Bombyx mori: one gene and its partner. The protein of the gene in region 1 binds, or shares a complex with, the protein of each later gene. Links are inferred from orthologs where the notes say so. Each region holds a gene or a part of one and is shown on either strand. Other genes may lie near its edges. The genes, in order: exportin-5 and GTP-binding nuclear protein Ran.

Evidence for each region.
Region 2: exportin-5 (region 1) and GTP-binding nuclear protein Ran share a complex: the UniProt entries of both Homo sapiens proteins name them as parts of the nuclear export receptor complex. The link is inferred for Bombyx mori from reciprocal best matches to the Homo sapiens genes XPO5 and RAN.

What each region holds. Positions count from the first base shown.
Region 1 is NC_085119.1:13,752,755-13,765,144, reverse strand, and holds the end of exportin-5, read left to right. Parts: coding exon 1-341; intron 342-2,764; coding exon 2,765-2,913; intron 2,914-3,182; coding exon 3,183-3,362; intron 3,363-3,938; coding exon 3,939-4,142; intron 4,143-8,859; coding exon 8,860-9,033; intron 9,034-9,695; coding exon 9,696-9,839; 3' UTR 9,840-9,906; downstream 9,907-12,390. UniProt on the Homo sapiens protein: Mediates the nuclear export of proteins bearing a double-stranded RNA binding domain (dsRBD) and double-stranded RNAs (cargos). XPO5 in the nucleus binds cooperatively to the RNA and to the GTPase Ran in its active GTP-bound form.
Region 2 is NC_085116.1:5,370,278-5,382,719, forward strand, and holds GTP-binding nuclear protein Ran, read left to right. Parts: upstream 1-5,983; 5' UTR 5,984-6,059; intron 6,060-6,425; 5' UTR 6,426-6,452; coding exon 6,453-6,878; intron 6,879-6,979; coding exon 6,980-7,195; 3' UTR 7,196-7,724; downstream 7,725-12,442. Other genes in the region: syntaxin-1A, read right to left, coding at 4,831-4,863; DNA-directed RNA polymerase II subunit RPB11, read left to right, coding at 10,115-10,167, 10,282-10,371, 11,019-11,253. UniProt on the Homo sapiens protein: GTPase involved in nucleocytoplasmic transport, participating both to the import and the export from the nucleus of proteins and RNAs. Switches between a cytoplasmic GDP- and a nuclear GTP-bound state by nucleotide exchange and GTP hydrolysis.

The DNA of each region.
Region 1 (12,390 bases):
GGGCCCGCCCGCCGCCGAGCGCCGCAACCTGCTGGGCCTGTGCGACCAGGACGCGGCGCCCGTGTCCCCGGCGTCGCGCATGCAGCAGTACGTGCACACGCTGCACGAGTCCGTGTGCCACCTGGTGGGCGCGGCGGCGGCGTCGCTGGGCCGCGAGCTGTACGCGGCGCCGGGGCTGGCGCGGGCGCTGGCGGGCTCGCTGCTGCAGGGGCTGGACCGGCTGCCGGACCACTGGCTGCGGCCGCTCGTCCGATGCGCGCTCAAGCCTCTCATCTTGCACTGTCCGCCAGCCCACTATCACGACGTCGCCGTACCAATACTCGAACACGTGGCCCCGTTCAGTAAGTGTTGTTGTAATCAAACTTACAAAATGTATAAATCCCCATTGTTGTTGGTAGACTCGCACGGGTAGGCAGCATTATCCTTATCCTGCCTATTACCTTCGCGAAAGTATATACTACTATTTTTATCTTTCTATTAATGTCACTTGTTCATTTTAGAAGTAACTAGATGATTTTATAACGCCATCTTGTTGTGTCTTTAAAGCGGTTAGTTGCCCCTAATTAAGAAAACTAGTATTATTATTCGCCAATAGATGTCGGGAAGAGTTGATTGTTGAAAACACGAATAAATTAACATTTTCTGAAAATAAATCGTAGCTAGATCGATTTATCGCCCCCTAAATCTCCTGTATACTAAATTTTATGAAAATCGTTGGAGCCGTTTCCGAGATTCAGATTATTTATTTATTTATTTATTAAGTTACACCAACAAAGTGATCATCAATCATAGACCTATATAGTAGGGACACGACATATTGTTCTATACGTACAATTGCTTATATAAATAGCACCCATTTTGAAGGCACACACATAAACATATATCTATCTCGTTCTTACTCAGCACTTTAACTCGCAGGAAAACAATATAACAGTATTTCAGTGCGTACATAAAATGAAACATGAATATACGTAAATGTCTCCGTCTCCGTCTAATGAGGCCGAAAATCCGCCATGTTTAGCGCGCCAAATGTCATTGTCACGTCAGTTCGGCCGTCTGTTTTGGGTTGTACATTATTTATTGACTTTGATATCGATTTAATATGATTGCTTATATAAAATTTCTAATTTTATCATGCTTAAAACATACAAAAATAATAATTAAAACATATTTTATAGGATCTCAAGAAGGTCGATGCCCCAAAACTATTATCTATATATATTTAAATTCATTATGGAGCCCTCATCCGAAACATAGATTATACACTTAATATATTTGAATCCGAAATATCGGACACCATTTTTCGGTCGGAATCTATTCATCATGACACTAATCATAAATACCTCTTTAAAATATGTCATCAAAACATATTTAGACATTCTGTTTAGATATTTCGGGAAAAAGGCTACCGACAAAATCTCTTCGGAACTATTTAAATAAAATAGTTTTATTCCGCAGTGAGTAAAACACTATTGTAAATTCGATAAATATTTATTAATTAGGTGATTTTAGAGAGGAAGTCACAAGGAATGACGTTTGTAATTTCATTAACGAATAAATGTTCTGTAGGTGTTTTTTTTTAGCAGGCGGTCCCTTGATAAGTTTAAAATTTGAATCACTCTCAAGTGAGAGTGATTCAAATGGTGCGGTACACCTTCCTTGAGGTGCACTGCGGTAGTCTGTTACGGACTTTAGAGTCAGCAAAACAATTAAAATAGATTGTAATAGTCTAAGAAAAACACGTACTCAAAATACGATAACATTCAGCATGCTAGAAATGGGCTGATGGCACTGTACTATGCCATATCTTTATGTTTTGCGGCAAACGACAACTTTATAAAATCAGTGTAGCAAATTTTAAAAATCGTCATATCGTTTACTTGGAAAATTTGAAGCACGAACTCGTCTTAGATTTCACATAATATCTAAATCACATCATCTTTGCATATAACAATATACTTAATTTCTATTAAAGTATAAATTCTACAAATACATTAATACTCAACAATATTTAAAATAAAATAAGCCAAGAACGTTTATCGATAAAACCTACTAACATTAAAATCTTCTGGGCAGCACTAAAGCCGCCATGTTTTGTGGCCAGATGACGTCACAGTGGCACGAATTTTTTGTTGACGTTTCATTTCCATAGGTTTCCTACTTCAGTGTCATCAATACAAAACATTGACAAATTGACAAAAGCTCATGGCAGATGTCACCTCAATTATAGGTGCAATCGACAGTGCATTAACATCAAAAATAAAAAAAATATACAGCTAAGATTTGAATACATTGCATTCATTGCTTAAGATTAATTTAATTGGGAGATGATCCGCGACAGATTTTTCCTGTAAGTAGTAATATATATATATATATATATATATATTAATATACAAGAATTGCTTATAAAGGTATAAGATTTCTATTTAATCTACAAACTGTTTAATATCTCCAAAGACATTCAGAATTATAATATACATACACTGCACTGATAGTTAAGTCTTTTAATATTGTTCTAGTCATGTTTATCTCCATGCTTTGAGTTGAAATCACAAAAGTGCTATAGAGGTTATCATTATAATCATAACAATGCAAACATAATGCGCCTTGGAACTTTAATATCATATCATAAGGCTACATTCACTGTGACTTTGAACTATGGTAGATACTAAACCAGATGACTGGTGTTGTACTCCAAAAGTCATAAGATAATCCTTTCAATAGGTAGTGAAAACATATCTTTACGAGATCAATTTTTTTATAGTGTTAATGCATCTGTCGCAACGATGGGACTACATCATGTCTCTCTACGAGTCTGGTAAACTAGAAGAGGAAACCGGCAGTGAGTCTCAAGAAGTGTTAGAAGATATCCTCGTTAGAAACCTGACTAAAGAATATTTAGAAGTTATTAAAGTAAGTTGACATAATATCTACTGTTTGCTTAGTGTTTATAAGAAAATGATAAGCAAAATTCAAGCGGAAAGAAAAATTGAAAATGGGATAATCAACAAAAATATCGTGGAAAAAAATTATTAGTTAGATTTTGAAAGAAAAAATAATTTAATTATATTCATATTTAAAAAAAATATTGAGGAATGTAAATTTAATAAAAAAAGTTTACAGGACATTTGTCGGATCCACCTAGTATGAAATAATTTAATTTGTGTTGTGTGTGGGGTTAGGTGTCGCTGGTGGAGGGCGGCGTGGTGTCAAGTGCGGACACGTGCGACGACATGGAGGAGGACTCCAGCCCCGCGCCCCCCGCGCCCGCCGCCGCGCACACCCGCACGCCCGACGCCGTGTCCGAGCTGGGCGCGCTGCTGCTGCAGCATCCGGTCGCGGGACCCGCTCTCTTGCACACGGTAACTATGCCTACAACAATCAAATTCCTGCAATTATTCATTACAAGCTTTTACCACCAGGCAGGACCATCGATTCTGAACTTTACTGCGAACAACTGATGAGATTAAAGCAAGAAATCGAGAGAAAGCGACCGGAATTAATCAACAGAAGGGGTGTGGTTTTTCATCATGATAACGCTAGACCTCATATATCTTTAGCCATTCAGCAAAAATTAAGAGAGCTTGGCTGGGAGGGGTTAATGCATCCGCCATATAGTCCTGACCTTGCACCTTCAATTTTCCACCTGTTTCGGTCCCTTCAGAATTCTTCAGGCAGTGTCAGGCTAACATCACGAGAGAACTGCCAAAATCAATTGTCACTGTATTTTGATCAGAAGCCCCAAAATTTCTATAGCAATGGGATCATATCCCTACCTACAAGATGGCAAAAAGTTATCGAACAAAATAGTACCTACATACTTTAGCTAAATCTAAATAAACTATTATATATTAAAAAATGTTGTGAATGTTCTTAAAAAATGCGAAGATACTTTTTCTCCACCCTATATTATATTAGATCGTACGGTATGGCTACAGGTACTGCGTGCGCTGACGTGGGGCGACTCGAGCGCGTCGCTGCGCGCGTGCGGGCTGGCGCTGGCGGCGGTGGCGGGCGCGCGCGCGGCGGGGCAGCTGGGCGCGGCGGAGGCGGCGGGCGCGCTGCACGCCCAGCTGCACGCCCTGCGCGCGCACGGACAGCACGACGCCAACCAGGCCGCACTGCTCGCGCTCGCGCTGCAGGTACCTCCTCGCTCCTTCACTTGGTTTTTTTTAAGGGATTTTATAACCTGGTAACTAAGACCTTTAAGTCATGTCTTATTTTAAATTCTTATTTTTATGAAAAATGATGATATGGAGTGAAATGAAATGAAATAAAATGAAGATGATTAATTTGAGACATTAATCAACTGGGATGAAATTAAATGAAATGAGATAATATGGGGTGAAATATAATCTCAGTAAAATGGTGGTGGTCATTTACTGAGATTTTTTCAGTGAATTTTTTGAAGGATCCCGAGAAGTTACGTCCAGCGGCTTTGTTTCATTTTCCCACATCTGTGCACTTTCACAGATCTTAAACAGTTAGTAAACCACCGTTATTACACATTTAAACTAAAGAAACACCAAATAGACAAAATTCACTCCTCGCGTTCCCCCCAAGTCCCCTTCACTTGCTCCTTCATGAGGAATATGTATAAACTATGCGACTAAAGGACACATACTTATACACACATACTTAAGGACAAGCATACACATACTTATTATACAATTTAAGGATATTTTAATGGTGGGATAATTAAAATCATAAATAAAAAGAAATTAGCATGACTAAGCTACATTGATAATATTGAAGGAGTTGCCATAGGTAAAATATATTTATATTTTAAACAATCCACATTAAATCTTCTTAAAAAAGACATTATATTGCAAAAAACTAGAAAAATATATTAACATATTTAATTAATGAATTTCAAAACTAATATAAAACATTATATCTAAACAAAAATCTATTTTTATACTTTTAAATCCGTAGAATAAAGCATTACATTGATCAATAATTATTGATTATAAGCAAAAACAAAACGCTTGTTTAATGTTTTTGTTTTACATTTGATCAGTCGTTTTCGCACTCGTGCGCATTGTGGATATTATTAAGTGTTTCGTTGCGATATACCTGCTTATTATATTTTGTTGTGCATAAAATTAAGTCTTGGCGTTCATTGAATTAAGTCTGTGTTATAAAGTATAGTAATATAAATAATATTTAAGCTGATGATGATGTTAAAGTGTAAGTGTATTGACAGCAAATCATATGATATTCTTCTATATCGTTCCCTCACTACTGAGGATCGCGACCACATGCGACGTACTTCCAATGTGCTCGATCATGGGTGGCATGGACTGCAGGGTACAGACTACCACCGAGTGCTTCTCTTGCCAGATCTGACCATCTGGCTGGTGTTCTACCCACGGCGCGCTTGCCTTCTATTCGACCCGTAATTATGAGCTTCTCTAATTCATGTCTGGGAGACCGCATGATGTATCCGAAGAAGCTCATAACACGCTCCCGGCAGATGGAAGAGAGCCTTTTTCGGATGTCTAGCTGCCTTAGAATGGACTCGTTTTTTCTCATGGCAGTCCACGGTATTCGCAGCATCCTCCGCCACACCCACATTTCAAAGGCATCGATCTTTTTGATGTCCCGGCTTTTTATGCACCATGTCTCCGCCCCGTAGAGGAATATGGGAAAGATCAGTGCCCGCACCAAGCGCACTTTGGTTTTATATCGGATGCTACGATTTTTTCATATCTTCTCGAGATTGGCCATCGCACTTTTAGCCATACCGGATCTTCGGCGTATCTCCCCCGTGCAGCCACCCTCGGATGCTATTTGCGACCCAAGATATGTGAATTCCGCTACTTTCTCGTAGCTAGCCACTGAGTGCATCAGAACGTGGAAGAATTTTCGCTCTATCTATTATCATTATTTTGGTCTTGGAGTGGTTGATTTTAAGACTGAGTTTAGCACTTTCTTCTTCCACATGGTTCAGCAGAATTTCCATTTCCTCCTCATCTGATGCAAGCATGGTAGTATCGTCAGCGTATCTCAGGTTCGTGAGTGTTTCACCGCCCACGGAAATACCGCCGTTCCAGCCCTCAAGTGCTCTTCTCATTATATATTCGCCGTAGATATTAAATAATTTGGGTGACAGAATGCAGCCCTGACGCACTCCACGTTCTGTATGGAAGGGTTTAGATCTTCGATTATCCAGTTTCACGAAGCAAGAGCCATCATGGTAAAGATTCCGTATCAGTTGTGTGAGATGAGAAGGAACGCCCATATCAATTAACACATCAAACATGCTACTCCACCGAACACAGTCAAACGCCTTCGCATAATCTATAAAGCATAGCACCAGAGGCTTGTTAAACTCGCGAAATTTCTCAATGAGCACTCGGACGTTCAAAATTTGCTCGCGAGTTCCTTTTCCAGCTACAAAACCAGCCTGTTCTCTCGGTATCTGGTGGTCTATGAAAGCTGATAGTCTGCTGTTTATTATGCGAAGGAGTATTTTACTCGCGTGGGACATGAGCGACATCATCGACAAAAATCTTATCTTATTTTTTAAATATCTCTGTATCCCCATGAACAATATTGATTTTAATTTGTTTATAATAAAAGGCATATATAGTCTGTTATTTAAACTTAATTTGATTAAGGCGAATTTACATTACGAAATGAGTGGCATGAAATTAATTTCGTGACAATAGTTTTACCAACAGTTTCACGTGTAACTTAATACTGTCGTAATGCATTAATTTCATGCATGCAAATTAGTTTCGTGCCCTGCGCGATTTTTTGGTGAAATTAGTGTCATGCAATTAATTTCATATGGCCCAAGAGCCCGTGACAGCCAGACCTTCGTTATTTTATAAAAGCTGAAAGTTTCTCTGTGTATGTCTCCAACACAGGTAAGAACGACCCGCGATTATAGAGTTCCGATTGTGGTTACTTGGGCAGGTAACAGGCAGTAAAGGTATATAAAATAGTACCTTAAATTCGTTAAAGTATAAAGGTTTTTTTTTTTAATATTTACTCCAGAATATCTTTAGAAATCATGATATCCGTTGCCGGACACTTTTTCCAGTTGTTACCCCCTGCCAGACACCCTTAAACTTTAATAAATTTTAATTATACTTTCGTTATACTATAAAAGCTAAATTTTATATATGTTACTTAGGGACTTATAAAAATATGTTACCCCAAGAGCCGGACAGTTTTAATGGTTCTTACATCTTGCCAGACACATTGAGAGCCCGCTGTAGGTGCGAGCGCGAGGTAGCAACTGTTCAAGCGGGTGTGAGCGAGATAGAGTGCTTAGTCTATTGTGATCTTTTAAGATATCCAATAAAAAAATTATTTTATTACGTTCATAGCAATATTATAGAAAATAAAAAAGGTTATTTTAATATTATAAAGTACAAACAAAATATTACATGTCAAAGAAAAATATTTAATCGTTCTTATAATTTTCCTCATTGTCGTCGATATTGAACTGATGAATAAGGCGATATCAATATCGCCTTATTCAGTCGAGTCGGCCTGAGGGGCCTACGAGGGGGGGCATAGCTACTACCGTATCCGATTTGAGAGTACGAGCTAAGCGGTAGTAAGACCTTTGAGAGGGCGCGAGTCCTTCTAAGAAATCAGACCATCTGGCATCTCGGACTTCGGCGATGCGAGACTTTACGTCGCGTTGTAGGGCACGCATTCGAGTACGATTTTCCACTGTAGGATACCTATCGTAGGCGCGGATCGAAGCGTTCTTAGCTCTAAGGAGTTCCCTAATATCGTCGGGCAATTTGAAGCGGTGAAGGAAGTCCTCCGCCACAACTTGCTTCGATGACCTATCTAATGTCGAGGTGATGTGTGACATTACGATGTCTATGGCTTCAGCGGTATCCTGAGGAGACGGGGTAGAGTCCGGGCTAAACGGGAGCGATGGTGGATCAGATTCAGCCAGGCTAATGCCCAGCGTGTGCCAATCCACCACAGTCCTCGTGACGGGAACGGAATCGGGAGCGCGAAAAAAAAAAATTAGATCTTATTAATGAATATTAGCGACAAGGGTGTCTCTGGGACCCGAAACACCTACAGTAAAAAATTTAAATTATCTTCACTCATTCGAAAATAGTTTTTATAACTCTCAGGATCTTCATCTGCTAATTCAGAGACTAACTTCATTGCACCTAAATACCTTCTTGTTGACCATCCTCGAATCTACCAACTTCTTTTTACTTGATAGTCTTTTTTTAAGTTTATAGGTATATAAGCATTTCTTTAGCTTCATTGAATATGGCAAATTATAGCTTTGATGCTGAAGGCGCCATGGTTACTGCGATACTGTGGATTTCGCGACACTAATTTTTTAACGAAATTACTTTCGCATATATCGAAACTACTTTCGTGAAACTGAGCTCAACATGCATGACACTAATTTCGTAATGTAAATCCCGCATTACTGTCCTTCGTTTAGTGGGCCGTGCAATGTATGGAGAGTGGCCCATGTCCTTTGTACATATTTTGCAAAACATATCGATTTATAAATGCATTTGAAAATTTATGACGTGACCTAACATTTTTTTCGTTCAAAGATCATAGTTTTTTTATTGCTTAGATTGGTGGACGAGCTCACAGCCCACCTGGTGTTAAGTGGTCTCTGGAGCCCAAGGATATCTACGACGTAAAGTGCGCCATCCAGCTTGAGATATAAGTTCTAAGGTCTTATAGTTACAACGACTACCCCACCCTTTAAACCGAAACGCATTACTGCTTCACGGCAGAAATAGGTGGGGCGGTGGTACCTACCCGTGCGGACTCACAAAAGGCCCTACCCCCAGTAAAATGATGACGACACGCACAATTTTTTTTTTTTTATCTTTTCATTCTCCACAGACATACGAAACTCTCCGGCCACAGTTCCCTAACATAGTAAATGTACTACGTGCCATTCCGGATGTGGACGCACACGATCTGCAGCGGCTAGAAGATAAGCTTGCCAACAACACCGGGAAACCTTCCAAAATCGACAAGAGCAAACGAGATTTATTTAAGAAAATCACTTCCAAGGTACTTCTTTTAATGATGATAACACGTCAGTTAATGTAAATAAAATGGAATCTAGAGGCTTTTTTTTGGTAAAATTTTTGCTTATTTGGAAAGGCAAGGAGATCAAAAGTCCATACAGCCATGTCTGTTCTAGGAATCCATAGACAATACAACTTAAATTCCACTTCAGTGTACAAGTTCAAAGTCCCATTTGAATAACTCTTCATTTTATTTATACTACCAAAACTGGAAAGTAAGACACTACCTACTCAATAATATACTTCATTTTGAATTCCGAGAGTATGAGTGACGACCGATATGTGATTTACAATTTAATTTTCATCCGAAGTACTCTTATCTAAATTTGTTTTCTTTCACAAAACGAATATTTACCGTACTTACATTATAGAAGGGATCCGACAAAAAGCTAAACCCCGCTAACGACATTGACAAGATAGATAGGATTCTTCTACTCAGTCGTATGCACTCTTGGCAGAGTGGTCGTTGTCATAATTTCGTGTGGCACCACCACGCTTCACCAAACGTCGCCATTCCTCGCATACATACAGCATACGTACAAGTTTCGGATAACAATATTCGTATCCACCCGCGCGGTGGAGTCAGTCACTTCTAATATCGTTGGCAGAGAGTATATATTGATATATTGTATCGTTTTTGTATAGTTAATTGGTCGCAACGTGGGTCAGCTGTTCAAGAAGGAAGTGTTCATAGTGGATCTGCCCACGGTCCGCACGGCTCGCCCGCCGACTGACGACACCGCCCCGCCCCGACTGGACCTGCTGTTCGCGCACACTCCACCCACCTAGCCCACTGTCAAATCTATACCATGCTGTGAATACCACTTTGTATCTAAATAAATTATATTAATTATTATGTTTACTATATTTTATTTTTTATTGAAGTGAAACTTCTAATGCGACTTCCAACATTTCCTACCTAAGCTGAGAGCCTTGAGAGGCTATATCAGCGTAACCTTAACTAGTAGGTGAGCTCACGGGGCTCAAACCTGACGACGATGCTAACACGGACCCTAGCAAGAGCAGAATCTACCACCAGATTGGAAACGCGACCCACTGAGAAGATCCGGCGAGAAACTCAGTGGGCTGTGTCTATGGGTTAATTCGCCCGTCGAGCCCTTCGTCACAAGCGACGGGTTCAACGAGGACGGTGACCGATGCCTGTGGTACCTAAAAGCACCGTTAATGGATCAGGAGGATCCGTAATGACGTGCTTTGGGCGACGTGACTTAAGTGTATAATCTATGGACGTGACTGTTTACCATTCGGTCTACAGGGTCGAGTTGGTAGTTTCCAGCGGCCACGACAAGAGGGTTCTCATGTCGTGCCGCCTTCTCAAATCTCGCCTTGTCGCGGCGGTGGGGCTTAAGCGTGCACCCCGATACCGTGGAGCAGCGTTGTCTGCACAGGGGTGCCGTGAACAAAGAGGACTGCACACCGTGTTCCCGTTTTCCCACCTTTGCTGGACAAAGGGTGCGTGAAGCGGGAGATGGCTCCCTTCTGGAGCCGTCTTGAATGCTAGGCCATGTCCCCGGCAGCTTTTTGGCTGCTAAAGGGGAAGGCCCTCCAGAGGAGGGTACCGGTACGCCGGCGTGGCCACACCGTGGTCAGACGTGTGGGTCTGTCAGTAATGGTAGACCCCACGTGGATGAGAAGTGAACCGGAGGGCACTCCCTTCCGGTCGCTGGTTGCCATGTCCCCGGCTGCCTCTTGGCGGCTACAGGGGAAGGCCCCCCAAAGGGGGGTACCGGTTTACCGGCGTGGCTTCGAAGAAGCACACCGCAATCCCTACCGAGTAGGGGACGGGGGCTGCTGCCTAGCAGGAGCCGTGAGGATGCGAACCTCTATAAAAAATGCCCCAATCCCAAGTTTTTGACACCTGACGATGGGATGAATGGCTGGAGGGAGTCTAGTCCCAAGGGTTGTCCCATACCGTAATCCCCACTTGGTGGGGGGCGGGGGCCGCTGCCTAGTAGTGGCCGCGAGGATGCAAACCTCTATAAAAAATGCCCTAATCCTAAGCCTGTGACGTGCCCGGTGATGGGATGAGTGGCTGGAGGGTGTCCAGTCGTGAGGGCCGTCCCAGGGGACCGACCCCTGGTTAAATAACAAAGGAACGAAATGAATGATGGCAAACTTACAAAAAACATTACCCCAGGAGGGTACCACTCTAGGTGGAGAATCCCTCCGTGCTTCCACTTCGGTGGGAGCATGCTGCCCCACGTATTCTGGGGGGGGCAAAGCATGCCACGATGAAGGGGGCTGTGCGACGGGCAGCGGAAAACCCGTCGAACCGAGGTGTGCCAGCGCTGGCTCGACGCGCTCTGCGCTCGTCAGCGACTGCGAGGCGGCTGGCCCGAAAGGGAAAGTCAGGCGGAAGAGGAAATCGAGGGGAGTTTCTTCCCGCGAAGGGAAGGGGGGGCTAACGTCGTCCTCTGACACGGATGCCCCACCGGAGAAAGTGGTGGTAGTCTCCGATTCGGCCTCTGCCGCGGAGGAGATGCCGCCCCCTAAAGGGAGACCCGCTCGGGGGAAGGGCGCACCGTCACCGGCGCCGTCATCGGCGTCGATGTCTGTCGCCTCGCTGGACGGGCGGACGACAGAAGAGGAGGAGGGCGGTCTTCGGGACCCTGCCTTGGTCATAGGCAGGGCCATGAAGACCGTCAAGTCGTATGCGGCGACCAGTGCCAAAACCAAAGCTGCTGGCCGCAGGCTGCGGGAAGTCGTCTCGCGAGTCTCGAAGGTTCTGCCTTCGGTTGCTTCCGCCAATGACCAGGTGGTGCAGCTGATGGCGGAGAATTTGAGGCTCCGAGCACAGCTACAGGCGCAGCAGCGGCCCGATGGCAAGGTTGCTGCTACCAAGCGGGTAGCCGCGACGAGGTCGTCGCCCGCGTTGCCGCGTGCCGCTGGGTCGCGGACTCCTCCGGCATCTGTGCCGGCGGTGTCGCCGCTGGTCTCCGGGGTCCCTCGGGGTCCCTGTCCCTCAGCGGCGGCTGGCGACCCGTGGCCCGTGCTGCCACCATCGCGCGCGGTACAGCGGCGTTCGCGTCTCCCGTCGCCGCGGTCTAGGGAGGCGACGGCCGTCGAGCGGCAGCAGGGATCCGCGGGGCCACGGATCTTGGGCCTGCCGGAACCGAATTGCTACAGCCTGGACGAGATTATCGATCGCACCGTCCAGGCTGTAATGGAAAGGCTGGGTGGCGGGCTGGCGGCTCTCGAAGCGAAACGTATTGTCGCTGGTGACGCTGAACGGCCTGCGTCTACACATGCCGCGGTGTCGGGTGCTGCAGTGACCCGCTCCACCCCCGTACAGGCTCCAGCTACTAGGGCGGGCCCGGGG
Region 2 (12,442 bases), on another chromosome or scaffold:
ATGTATTTAAAAAGTTCCTACTCATATGAAAAATAGGTTTATGAAAAAATCAATTACAAAACACGAAAGAATATTATTATTATTGTTTCCTCCGCAAAAACTTCATATTTTTTTTTTAATTAACTAAGTAAGTCCGTTTCATTTACAACATTTCATTTGACAAGTATAGAGACGACACATCGAAGATCTAACTAAGTATTTGCAAACACTTAAAGCAAACATCTATATCCACGGAGAAACCAAATGAATACCTTCGTGAGAATAAAACGCAATCCTAATTTCCAATAATTTTGCGCACACTAATTTGCCTAATTACTTTTTTTTATTACTTTATTGCTTAGATGGGTGGACAAGCTCACATCCCACCTGGTGTTAATTGGTTACTGGAGCCCATAGAAATCTACAACGTAAATGCGCTACCCACCTTGAGATATAAGTTCTAAGGTCTCAAGTACAGTTACAACGGCTGCCCCACCCTTCAAACCGAAACGTCTTACTGCTTCACGGAAATAGGCGAGGTTGAGGTGGTACCCGTGCAGACTCACAAGAGGTCCTACCACCAGTAAAAAATTATGTGAGTGTAATGATAGGCCGTATTTTAATCCCGCAAGGGTATGCACCAACATCTTGCGAATTTTTTAGTTACATAATGCTAATGAGCACTTGAAAAGTGTTAATCGGCATTGATTTACTTTTCTATTAACCTCTATTAATTGAATTGAATTGCTGATTATGCAGGAAGGTACTAAAATGTTTTACGAAATTTTTATTACAGATTTTGTTTTGTTTCATCTAATGACATTTAAAAAAAAAGGAAGAAATATAATGCACAACATACAGCTGTCGCCGATATTCGTGGGTACACAAAATAAGTCGGAAGACATTATCAAGATTGAATTTTGGTAGAAGTTATAATTAAATCAAGGCATTCATTAATAGCACTATGAATAGTCCACATTAAACGGCGCATTCTAGAGTTTTAAAGAAAATATTTTAGGTGTATTTGCAGAGTATGCTGGAATGGATCAGGGGCTACACACATTAAAATAAGTATTGTTAAGCATTGGGCAGGGCACTGTGAAGATTTGTACAAGGAGGACCAACGTCCTAGTGTTCAAATTAAAAGTGAACAATAGCATTAATCAAAATTTTATGCACTTAACTCAGCTTTATAACCGAATATGGGATATATTCAGTTATCACTCAAACATTCTAATTAAAACCTCATTTTACGGTTTAATCTGGTGCTAATTATTTTCATTATTTAATTTCCGAAGTTTCGGGTACTTTACATTTTTCGTGATCATGGACGACTACGTTATTAATCTTCGATATTTGAATAATGCGGTAACTACCGTCAAATTTTCTATAAAATACTTTCTCATATTTACGCTTCTTTTGAAGGGTAAAAGTATTTTTAATTATGTTTACGACTCGTGAAAAAAAATTGTAATTTTCTATTCACACAAATTTTCATTGAGTTTCTTTTGGTTCCTGAAATGAACAAAGGAACTCACGATCTGCCTCGCGTTAATTGGTTACTGGAGTTACGCAGAGACATGAGATGGTATATATTACATATTACTGGTACATATTACTGTTCAGACCAGAACATACGAGTACATCACGGCAGCAATAGAGCTAAGAGAATATATAATTTGTTGTTGTTGTCCTAGGGTACCCCGCTGGTACATAGGGCCCTCACAAGTTGTCTCCACTTTATCCTGTCTTGCGCTTGCTCCTTGACATCACTCCAGGTCACGTTGTCAGTCCTCATCTCACTCTCTACGGTGCGTCGCCAAGTGTGTACAGGGCGACCAGGTCTTCTCCTGCCAAGCGGTTGCCACTCAAACGCGATTGATGCTGCGTTGACTCCGCTGCGCCGTAGTGTGTCCTATCCAACGCCATTTCCGATGAGCAATGTCTTGCGCGATGGGTTTTTGGTCACATTTAGTTATATAATTTGTGAAGAAAATTTATTGTGTATTTCGACAAATTAATTTTATGATAGCTTTAAGTTATTTATTTTTATCATTCAATATGAGTTCATTATTGATGGAAGACAGTATTAATAAGCCTTATTCTATTTATCTAACCTAATTTATCTACTTTTATGATAAAACTGTAGTCTATAAGAAAAGTTTGAACGCTTGTGCGTGAAGATAATCTAACTGTGGAAATAACGACTGAGATATGATCCTAACGTGTGCATATTCTTTGTTCGTTTATTTTTTCGTTGGAAGAGCAGACAAAACCTCCCATTTCGGATTTTATATTGTTATTTATCCCAAATTGTATATAAAGACGTGGTGCCGCGGTACTGTTGAAGTATTTTAGATGTTAACGCTTATTATTTGTCGCCTTCTTAAACTGAGGGTAGGTAAACTGAGGGTAGTTAAAAATACAATCCCCGCCTCCTACTTGTCGATTAAAATACATAAGCGGAACTTGATTCGTTCTGTCTCATGCAGTTCGTTCCGTGCAGATAATGACCTTATTATAAGATAAGGCACGTCGGCGCTTTACACTTGATCGTGCTAAAATACATAAGCCGATTTGATGTTGAATTTGTTAGAAGACATTGTTAACCATTATTTATTTAAACAAGATTACAGTAAATCTCCACGGCTTGATGCACGAGACCCACGATATGGGGGCTAGAACAGCCGTAACTCTAATGGAGTTGAAATTTTAACCTCTTGTCGGTGAGCTCACCTGACTATATGACTATATAACTAACAATTTGGCATATGACAAAATTTATTTATAATATCTTCATATCTATTACAACACCCTCATGTGTGTAATTAAGGAGAATAATAGTAAAAAGATAAACAAATTATAAACGAGTAGGGCTGTCTAAAGCCATCACCTCACTTAATACTAAGCTTGGTTTAAGCGCCGAAACAACGTTGCGCACAGTAATTGGATTTATGGTTTTAGGTGTCTACTACATCAGTAAATCGTTAATCTCTCCCAAAATCATAGTCAACGTGGAATGTAATACACAGGAAAGCAAAAAGAACATGCGAAAATGCAAAGAATTGTACTAAAATCAAAAACAAATTAGCATGTTATTTTTATTTCAAACTTGGAATTGAATGCTGACAGTTTCATCGTTTAGACAGTCTCATTCGGACCCTCAAGTGCAAATCAATTCAATGAATTTCATTTTTTACAAATCAATATGTTACCAAATTAGGGACAAAACATCCCTCCTTAAAAATAATGCACAATAAACAACACTTTTCATCAAAAAAGTGTCTTTTACTATTGAAAAGAAATTTGGAAATCGAAAAACATATAAGTATTTTTTTCTTTGTCATTGAATGTTTAAAGATTTAATGTTAATGGTTTGTTTGGTTTGTTCTAACTAAATTATAATCTTCAGAGAATTTATAATAAGAAGATTTATAGCAGTGTGATTTTAATGATTATATGAGTCATCTATTATCAAAGGTGGCAATCTGTGCATTTGGACAAAAAAATGTTATTGATATGTCAATACAGATTGATTTGAATATAATCGTCTCCTTCAAAGAATACGGTTCAAAACCTGCATTAAATAAAGGTTAATACTTAACCTGTTATTTATCTAAGATGTCGTTCAGAAGAGTTTTGTGACTGCCAATGGAATACAAAGTCAATAATTCATTTTTCTGATTTACCAATAATTGTCCAAAAGTCACATTGCCGGCTTTGATAATAGTCGACTCATATTATCATTTCAGGTGTATTTTGTTAAACTACAAAACTTATTTTACAATACCAATTTCTAATGAAACAAAAATAATTTAGAAATAAACAGAAAAAAATATTCAAATAACAATTCCAAATTAAACTATCCAATTTGCTACAATAGTAAATTAATTTCTATAAACTAGGTACCTTTCCTATACTTAGTGAATATTTTAATATGTAAGACTTAATTGAGTATATGATCAATATAAGAGCTTGTAGTTTTTCTATCTTAATAAAAAGTTCGAATGTATATGTGTCAACTTCATCAAGTTTGTATTTCACATGCAGCACTTGGTCCATTTATAAGTTTTAGGTTTATTTTTATTTTATTTTATGGAGTGGGTAACATAAAAATAGTATACTTATTTTGATAAAGAAAAGCTGAAAATTACTTTTTAAAATATTAATGGATGTAAATTGTAGCATAATTTGATTTCATTATTTATTTTAATAATTTTATTTCAATCAGTTGTTAAATTATTCAAATTTTAAAGCCTAGATACACTTTCAGTAACTTTGATCTTAATTTTCCTTCTCCACTTCATTGTATCTGACTGTTCTTATGAGTCATAACTTATTGCTCATATGCACTTTAACTAACTGGATAATTAAAAAAAAAAAATACACTCAAAGTTACTTTTGTATCCTATGATTTAATTTTTAACTCATGATAAATAAAAAAATCCGTACTATAGTTGAAATACTAAACAAGTGTTTACGACATTTCAGTTTTATAACAATAAATGTTTTCTTGTGAGGTTATACAGGTTTAAAGTTTTCGACATGGTTAGTGGCCCAAAAACAATGCAGATAAAGTAGGTTTCTTACAAGAATAGCGGAACGCAACAAATGTCTCGCATGAATGACAGCTATCATTCATCCAAGTCGAGTACGGGGTGGGGCGACCAGAATAAAGAACCCTCGTATATTTGGTTTGTCCAAAGATGTGTAGTTCTTAAAAAGAAGAAACTATGAAAATATCCTTCAAACTCACGATAGGCACCTTATTATCGGTATTTCATCATGAATTCGAGGTCATCGGCAAGACCATTAGATGTGCGAGAAGAGAGAAACTACAAATCTACTTACCGCTTGAAGCGCCGCTAACCTGTCCTTCGTCATCCTTTACAGAGAATCACGCACCAAGTAAACGTTTTTTCTCGTTACACAATCCCATTCAAAGATATTTTTCTAACAAACGTCACTAAACTAAAGGACACGAACACTACGTTCACTTCACTCAAAAAATCGATACCATACAAAACGTTCAGACGAGCAAAACTTCACTTATCGCTGGTCGCTACACTCGCTACCTGTCTCATGCTGTCAAATTTAATGTTGCCATAATTTTTTTCTAGGATCCACTAATATTAAATATAAAAAAAACAAGGCACACATGCTAAGAAACAACTTATAAGCTTCGTGCGCTACTGTGAAATGAAGATTGTGAGATGGATATAGTATGGCGACCAGGCTCATTAAAATTAAAAGAGGAGTACGTTTTAAGAAGGCCGCAAGACGAAACTCAGCAACGATATATTCATATAGGAAGGATCTCAGAAAGAAACTTTGCACGAAGAAGAATAGTTGCTTGTTCTTCTTCGTTCGAAAATCTATCGAAAGGCCGAAGATGGAAAAAATCCATCGAGAAGCAAGAGTGATTTTATAAAATTTTAATAGTGTAAAGAGGAAAAAGACGATCTTACGAAGTCTTTGTGGCCGATAGAATTCCCGCGGGCATTTACCATTTCTTATTGAAAGAAAATTTGTGTATAGCGTGTGTTCATGAATGGCACTCATGATGAGCAAATTAAAATAGAAAATTAATACAAAACCATTAATACAAAATAAGCTTTATGCTATATTTTTTTGGGAGTCATAATTGCCAATTTTGTTGGCAAAACCACTAAGATGGCAATGTTGAATATAAAATGTTTGAATTTGTAAGCTATAGGGGGCGTAGTGGTTTCGAAATACCAGTGACGTCAAATACCCTGTAGTCAAAACAGCGCATTATACGGCTTATATTATTAATTTTAAATACTGTTACCCAAATAGAAATTAACTCATTTACAAAATATATCTGATTGAAAGGTTAGTATATAAAATGCAAATTAATATTTTTTTAAACATTTGAAATAGTTTTACGTGGCTTTCATAAATTTAAAAAGACCTCACACTGACTCTTAATTCACTGTGCTTGTCAATGTCAAAATTGTCATTGTATGTAATCTTCCGCTTAGTCAAGTGACGCCATTGTGAGCCGTAACGACTTTGCTTTGGAACGAGTTAAATCTCGATTTTCTTATACAATCACGGTAAAGCCTTTAAAAAAATTATTTGTTTGTGTTCTATAAAAAACTGCCAATAAACTGATATCCATATTTATATTATTGGCGTTGTAGTTTTTCAGTTTTTCTCTTTAGAGTTCGGTACCTTCGAGCTAAATTCCTATGAGAGTGATTGAGCGCCATTCGCCGAAAAGTTAAAACAAATTCAAGTTGTCAAGTTCATTCAAACTCACAATTTATGTACCCAGTGATGAATTTAATCTGCTTAAAGTGTTGAATTATTTCTTGTATTCCGCGAAACCTAGTGAACGATCGATTGAAACGACCTGTCAACCGTGCGTCATAGAACATTCTATGGCTATATCCTAATTTTAGTTTACCACATTGTTTCAGAAGTAAAATAGCAATAAAACAACGAAAATGGCAGATGATATGCCCACATTCAAGTGTGTATTGGTAGGAGATGGTGGTACTGGCAAAACAACCTTTGTCAAAAGACATTTGACTGGAGAGTTCGAGAAAAAATACGTTGCGACTCTGGGTGTCGAAGTACATCCTCTAGTATTCCATACGAACCGCGGGCCAATTCGTTTTAATGTGTGGGACACAGCCGGACAAGAGAAGTTTGGTGGTCTTAGAGACGGATACTATATTCAAGGACAATGTGCTATCATCATGTTCGACGTAACCTCTCGAGTTACGTACAAAAATGTACCTAACTGGCATAGAGATTTGGTCCGTGTATGTGAAGGTATCCCTATTGTCTTGTGCGGAAACAAAGTGGATATTAAAGACAGAAAAGTTAAGGCGAAAACTATTGTTTTCCACAGGAAAAAGAATTTGCAGGTAAATAAAACTATTTTCATTCAATTTAAGAGTTAATTTTAAGGCAAAATGTTAAAATTCTTTGTAATTATTTTTGTTTCAAACTTGATTATTTTTTTCAGTACTACGACATTTCTGCTAAGTCAAACTACAACTTCGAAAAACCCTTCCTGTGGCTAGCTAGAAAATTAATTGGTGACGGTAACCTTGAGTTTGTTGCCATGCCTGCCCTTCTGCCACCAGAAGTTACAATGGATCCTCAATGGCAGAACCAAATTGAAAAAGATCTTCAAGATGCACAAAATACTGCTCTTCCTGAGGAAGATGAAGACTTATAAATATGATCAACGGATGTACCCAGTGCCCATTTTGTGATTGGAGGATCATGCAAATGTGTTCAGTGTAGCGTACACTAAATTTTTTCATTCCATTAGGTGATCGCAAATGAACATTATTTTAATAACTTATTAAACCTTCAATCATTTGCTTTAATTAATGTAAAATCATTAGATAATTTAACACGTAGCTCCTCTAGTTTGAGTTTTATAAAACTGTAATTCTAAACTTTTATATTGAAAGGCAACAAAAATATGAGTATTATTTATGTGTAGTTCATTTTTGTTACAGTTGTCATAAAAACATTTTGCATTGATTGCCCAATATGTGTTAATGCCTATTTGGTCACTGTTATTTATAATACACATGTAAACAAATTTGTATGATAACTCTTTGTAAACCAATAGCATGTACACACATAATATTATAATCTTGAAATTATTTCTTACTTTTGTTACATGCAAGGACTGACAATATTTCACTGAAAAATTGAATTGTGGTGATACTTTTTAAATAAAGTGTAAAAAATGAGATCGTGATTTTACTTCATCATATAAATAAAAGAAGCAATGGAGAAAATGGGTTGTTGTAACTTAAGATTCTTTAATAATAATAATATGTAGAATCTGTAAGTGATCTGATTTGTGTGGTTGTTCACAATATTAATGAGCTATCTAATTATTGAAAATATATGACGAAATACTGAGAAATTATTTATTAGCCTCTCTTAAATATTAAGTTTCATGAGGTAGGTACCTACACATTATGCATATGCCTTCAATATCTGGGATTTGACCTTTAGTGCCCTTGATGGCTGGCTCTGAGGCTTTTTCAAGCGTATCTCGAGTCGGGGCGGTTGCCGTCGCAATGAAAGTTACTTTTTAGTCGTTTATTCCTTTAAAACCCTGTCCTGATTGGAAATCGCTGGGGCGCTAAAAAATCACGGACGTTGGGTGTGGTGGAGGTTCATGGCACTATATTGTTCACCGGTTTGGTGTTACGCTCTGATCCTCGAAAATGCGACTGCGCTGTGGATTCCACTGCATCTTTGAGGTGGTGTGCATGCTCACCGGGGAATCACCCCGGGGTCTGGAGGCGGATGCGCCCGCCACGGATTACGCGTTGCGTGGCGATTTCCGCTCTAGGAGAGAATGGCGCACCGGTGAATAAGTGCGGAAGCTCTAATTTCGGCAGTCCGTGCTGAAGACGTTATGTCGCCGCTTGGTGATCCCGTCCTATGGTTTACGGACCGTATAAGCAGTCTGCGAGATCTTTCCGGACTAGGTGGGTCACGAGTCCCGACCGAAGACGCATCATTTTCCGACTGACGCAAGTGCTCACTGACTCCGGTTGTTGCCACCACTGTACTGACCGCAACGCGGAAAACATGCTCGCGCGCTGCACTGCGTCGGGCTGCAGACGGAGCAGCTTGCGGAAGGTCAGCGGCGCAAGCTGACACCCTCTACCTATCCTGTACCACGAGCCGCTCGATAGAAAGAACTCCACCCCGTGTCAAGCCTTAGTAAATATAAAAGAAAAAAGAACAACTAAGAATGATTATCGAGGCCCTTACTGGTCATGTTTTTTTTCAAGTAATACGAACTTATTTTATGCTAAACAGATAGTGATCTGTATAGGTCTCGCATGAATTTAATTAAACAACTCCTGTGACTTATTTCATTTTGCTTAATTAAAATTTTTGTACAAGACACTTTTCTTCGATCTCATATACTATAAGCTTTTATTAAATTTATGGAGGATAGAGGTAAGGAACACCATCTTGTATAGGGGACAAGTCGAAAAAGTGTGTACCTGTAAGCTGCCAGTTTTTATTAGAAGACTCACCGACACTGAAATAGCGCTAGTGTATGAAGTGGAAATGATATAAATGCAAATTATTAAAGTAGTTTTAAACAGAGTGAAGTGTGCTGGATTGAAGTGAAGTGTGGTAGTTTATAGTGCTGTTTTTTTTAATCTTTCCTCTTACTACTATGGCACCACCTTAATTGGTTCCCTTTCAGCGGACACTTTTAATACACTGAAACAGGCTCCTAACTTATGGACTCCATAGTTGAAATCTTTAGATTTCGTTCCCTTTGCCTAAGTGATTGGAAACAAAAAGCATAAGCAATTTTTTTATTATGCGAATCAAAGAGTGAGTAAGTGAGTGAGTGGACTTTTTGGCGAGAACGCGAGGAGTGAAGTTGTGTGATTTGTTTTATTTTGTCTATTTAGTGTTTCTTCAGGTTTAAATGTGTAATAACGGTGGTTTATTAACTGTTTAATATCTGCGAAAGTTCACAAATATGGTTACAAAAACCAAATCCCTGGACGGGACTTCTGAGGTTCCTCAAAAAGCACACTGAAATTTCAGTAAATTTTCACCATTTTACTAGGATGTTATTTCGTTTCACCTTATTTCACGCAATTTCCACCCATTCAACCCAATCTTAAACAAATCAATGTTATTTCATTTAGCTTCATAATATCATAGTTCTTTTTTCTACCGAATCGTTATGTTAAGGGGATATTCCAACCACACACGGACCGATAGGTGGCCTCACGGGCTCAATCTGAGAGAAGATTCGGCGAGAAACTCAGATGTTAACGTTTTTCACATTTTAACAGAATAAAAGAAGAAAATAAGAAAATTGGCTTAAAGATCTTGTTGCCAAGCCGAAATTCTTAAATAAAAAGTTAAAAGTAAATATTAAACATAGTGACATTAAGTGTAATCTATGACAGTGACCATAGATTATACACTTAATATATGTGACTCTATTGTAGGATTTTATAAACAAGTTATTTAATTTAAAATTTATCTGGGATGAGTTTGTTTGATAGAAGAAACTAAAAATCGCTTTATTCGGATTTCTTTGTAATATTTTTAGTCCAAAAAATTTGATAACGAATTTGTAGTCATGAATGCACCGCCGACATTCGAATCGTTCTTGTTGTATGACGGTGAAAAAAAGTACGTTTATTTAATGAATTTACAGCTTAATAATCTTAGTATCGTAGGACTGTAAATTAACAGTGTAACAATTGATTTATGTAGCTTATTATCTACAGAGGCTAACTGTTTCAGGGTTCAAAAAGAAGAAGATACAAAAGTTACAAATGCAGCAATATTTACAGTTAACAAAGAGGACCACACACTTGGTAACATGATCAGACAGTAAGATTTCTATCTTGTAATTACAGATATCAAATTTAATATAGGAGATCTATTAAAAGTGATCATATTAGGGTTGAAAACTATTTACCATTTTCTTAAATAAATTTTCATATTTTTTTTCTAAACCTGTTTAGATTGAGATATGAGGTAACTTAAATATGTTTATGGTGAAGTAGAAATAAGTAAAATGGCAGTACACCCCTTGAAGACTAGATACAAGCCATCATTTTTTTCTCCTTTTCTCCTTCCCATAGGAATTGACATGTACTTTTTTTTATTTTATATATGAATTGTATTAGTATTACTGTTAGTGGGGAGAATGAAAGGGCATGCAGAGCTTTTTTTTTTGCATAAACGGTTGAATGTGTAAAAGGCTCACTTGGTGTATAGTGGTTACTGGAACCAGTAGATATCACACGACATGAATAATGCCACACATTTTATTGTGTTATGTAGTACAATCAACACTAAATGAACAAACACTGTGTGTAAGTCTAAGATTGAATGTGTTCAATATTAGTGGAGGAAATCAAACTATGTATAGTGTCTATTGATGTAGTGGAGTTGGTGAACCCATAATACTCACCACCCATAATTTTATTGCACTTAAGTGATTGTGTTAATTTAAAAAACAAATATTATTTCAGTCAACTGCTGAAGGACCCAAAAGTCCTCTTTGCCGGTTACAAGATACCGCATCCATTGGAACATAAATTTGTACTCAGAATTCAAACAACATCAGACTATACACCACAGGAAGCGTTCATGAATGCCATTACAGACTTAACATCTGAACTCTCATTATTTGAAGAAAGATTTAAAGTAAGTTGTTGGCACGATCTGCATTCTATGATTTTTTTTTGTTGTTGCTTAGATGGGTAGACGAGCTCACAGCCCACCTGGTGTTAAGTGGTTACTGGAGCCCATAGACATCCACAACGTAAATGCGCCACCCACCTTGAGATATAAGTTCTAAGGTCTCAAGTATAGTTAAAACAGCTGCCTCACCCTTCTAACCGAAACGCATTACTGCTTCACGGCAGAAATAGGCAGGGCGGTGGTACCCACCCGCGCGGGCTCACTAGAGGTCCTACCACCAGAAAAATGTGTAAAAATTTGCTTAAAAAAATGTGTAAAATATAAGTGTTTATTATTATGATTGTTTTTCCATATATTATTGCTTCGTTTTTCAGGAAGCTATAAAGGAGAAAAAGGAAGGCTTAGATTAATTATAATAAAATTCTTATTAGTGTGTATTATTGAAATTGAAATAAGAATATTTGACAATAAAACTAAAATCTGGTGTTTAGAATTAAATACAGTAATTATGAGTTTATTTTTAAAGACGACCTAACAACGTAAGTTTAAGTAAGTGTACATGTTATTTGAAAGATAAGAAGATGTCTATTGCCCCGGTATACTCCATATTATATCCATTATACCCTTATGTAGTTCATCTTTAGTTATGAAATCTTACATAAAGACTAAAGAGAATAAATGCATCTAATTAAATTCTAACTGTTTACAATTATTGTATTCTATGCATTGAAAATATTGCAAATCCCTATTCCTAGGTAGATTAATAATAATAATAATTATTTATTTATTAACCTTGAAAAACATTTACACGTAACAGTTTGCTAAAAACTCTCCACACTAGGCACTGCCTGTCTCGTGGAGAGTTTTTTACAGGAGTATCTTAAAACTAGTAATAACGGTGCTGAATATACGAGAAAATCAAAATAGGTAATAGATTGAAGAAAAACAATTGTGTGTCCAATTTGTTTATTGTTACAAACTTACAATTTGGTGTTCATTAATTTAATTTATGTTATAATAAATCAATATAAGAATTTTAAAAACATGATTGTGATAGATGTTACAGTTCTGAAAATGTGTATGATATATTTCTCAAGTATGCATTATATCCAGATAATGCAATTGAAAAAAGAAACCAATCACCTTTTATGTTAATAAAATCAACATGCAATATCTTATAAAACAATAGATCGATGATGCTTATTTACATATATTAATGAACATTATTAGTTTAACTATGAAACAACTAATA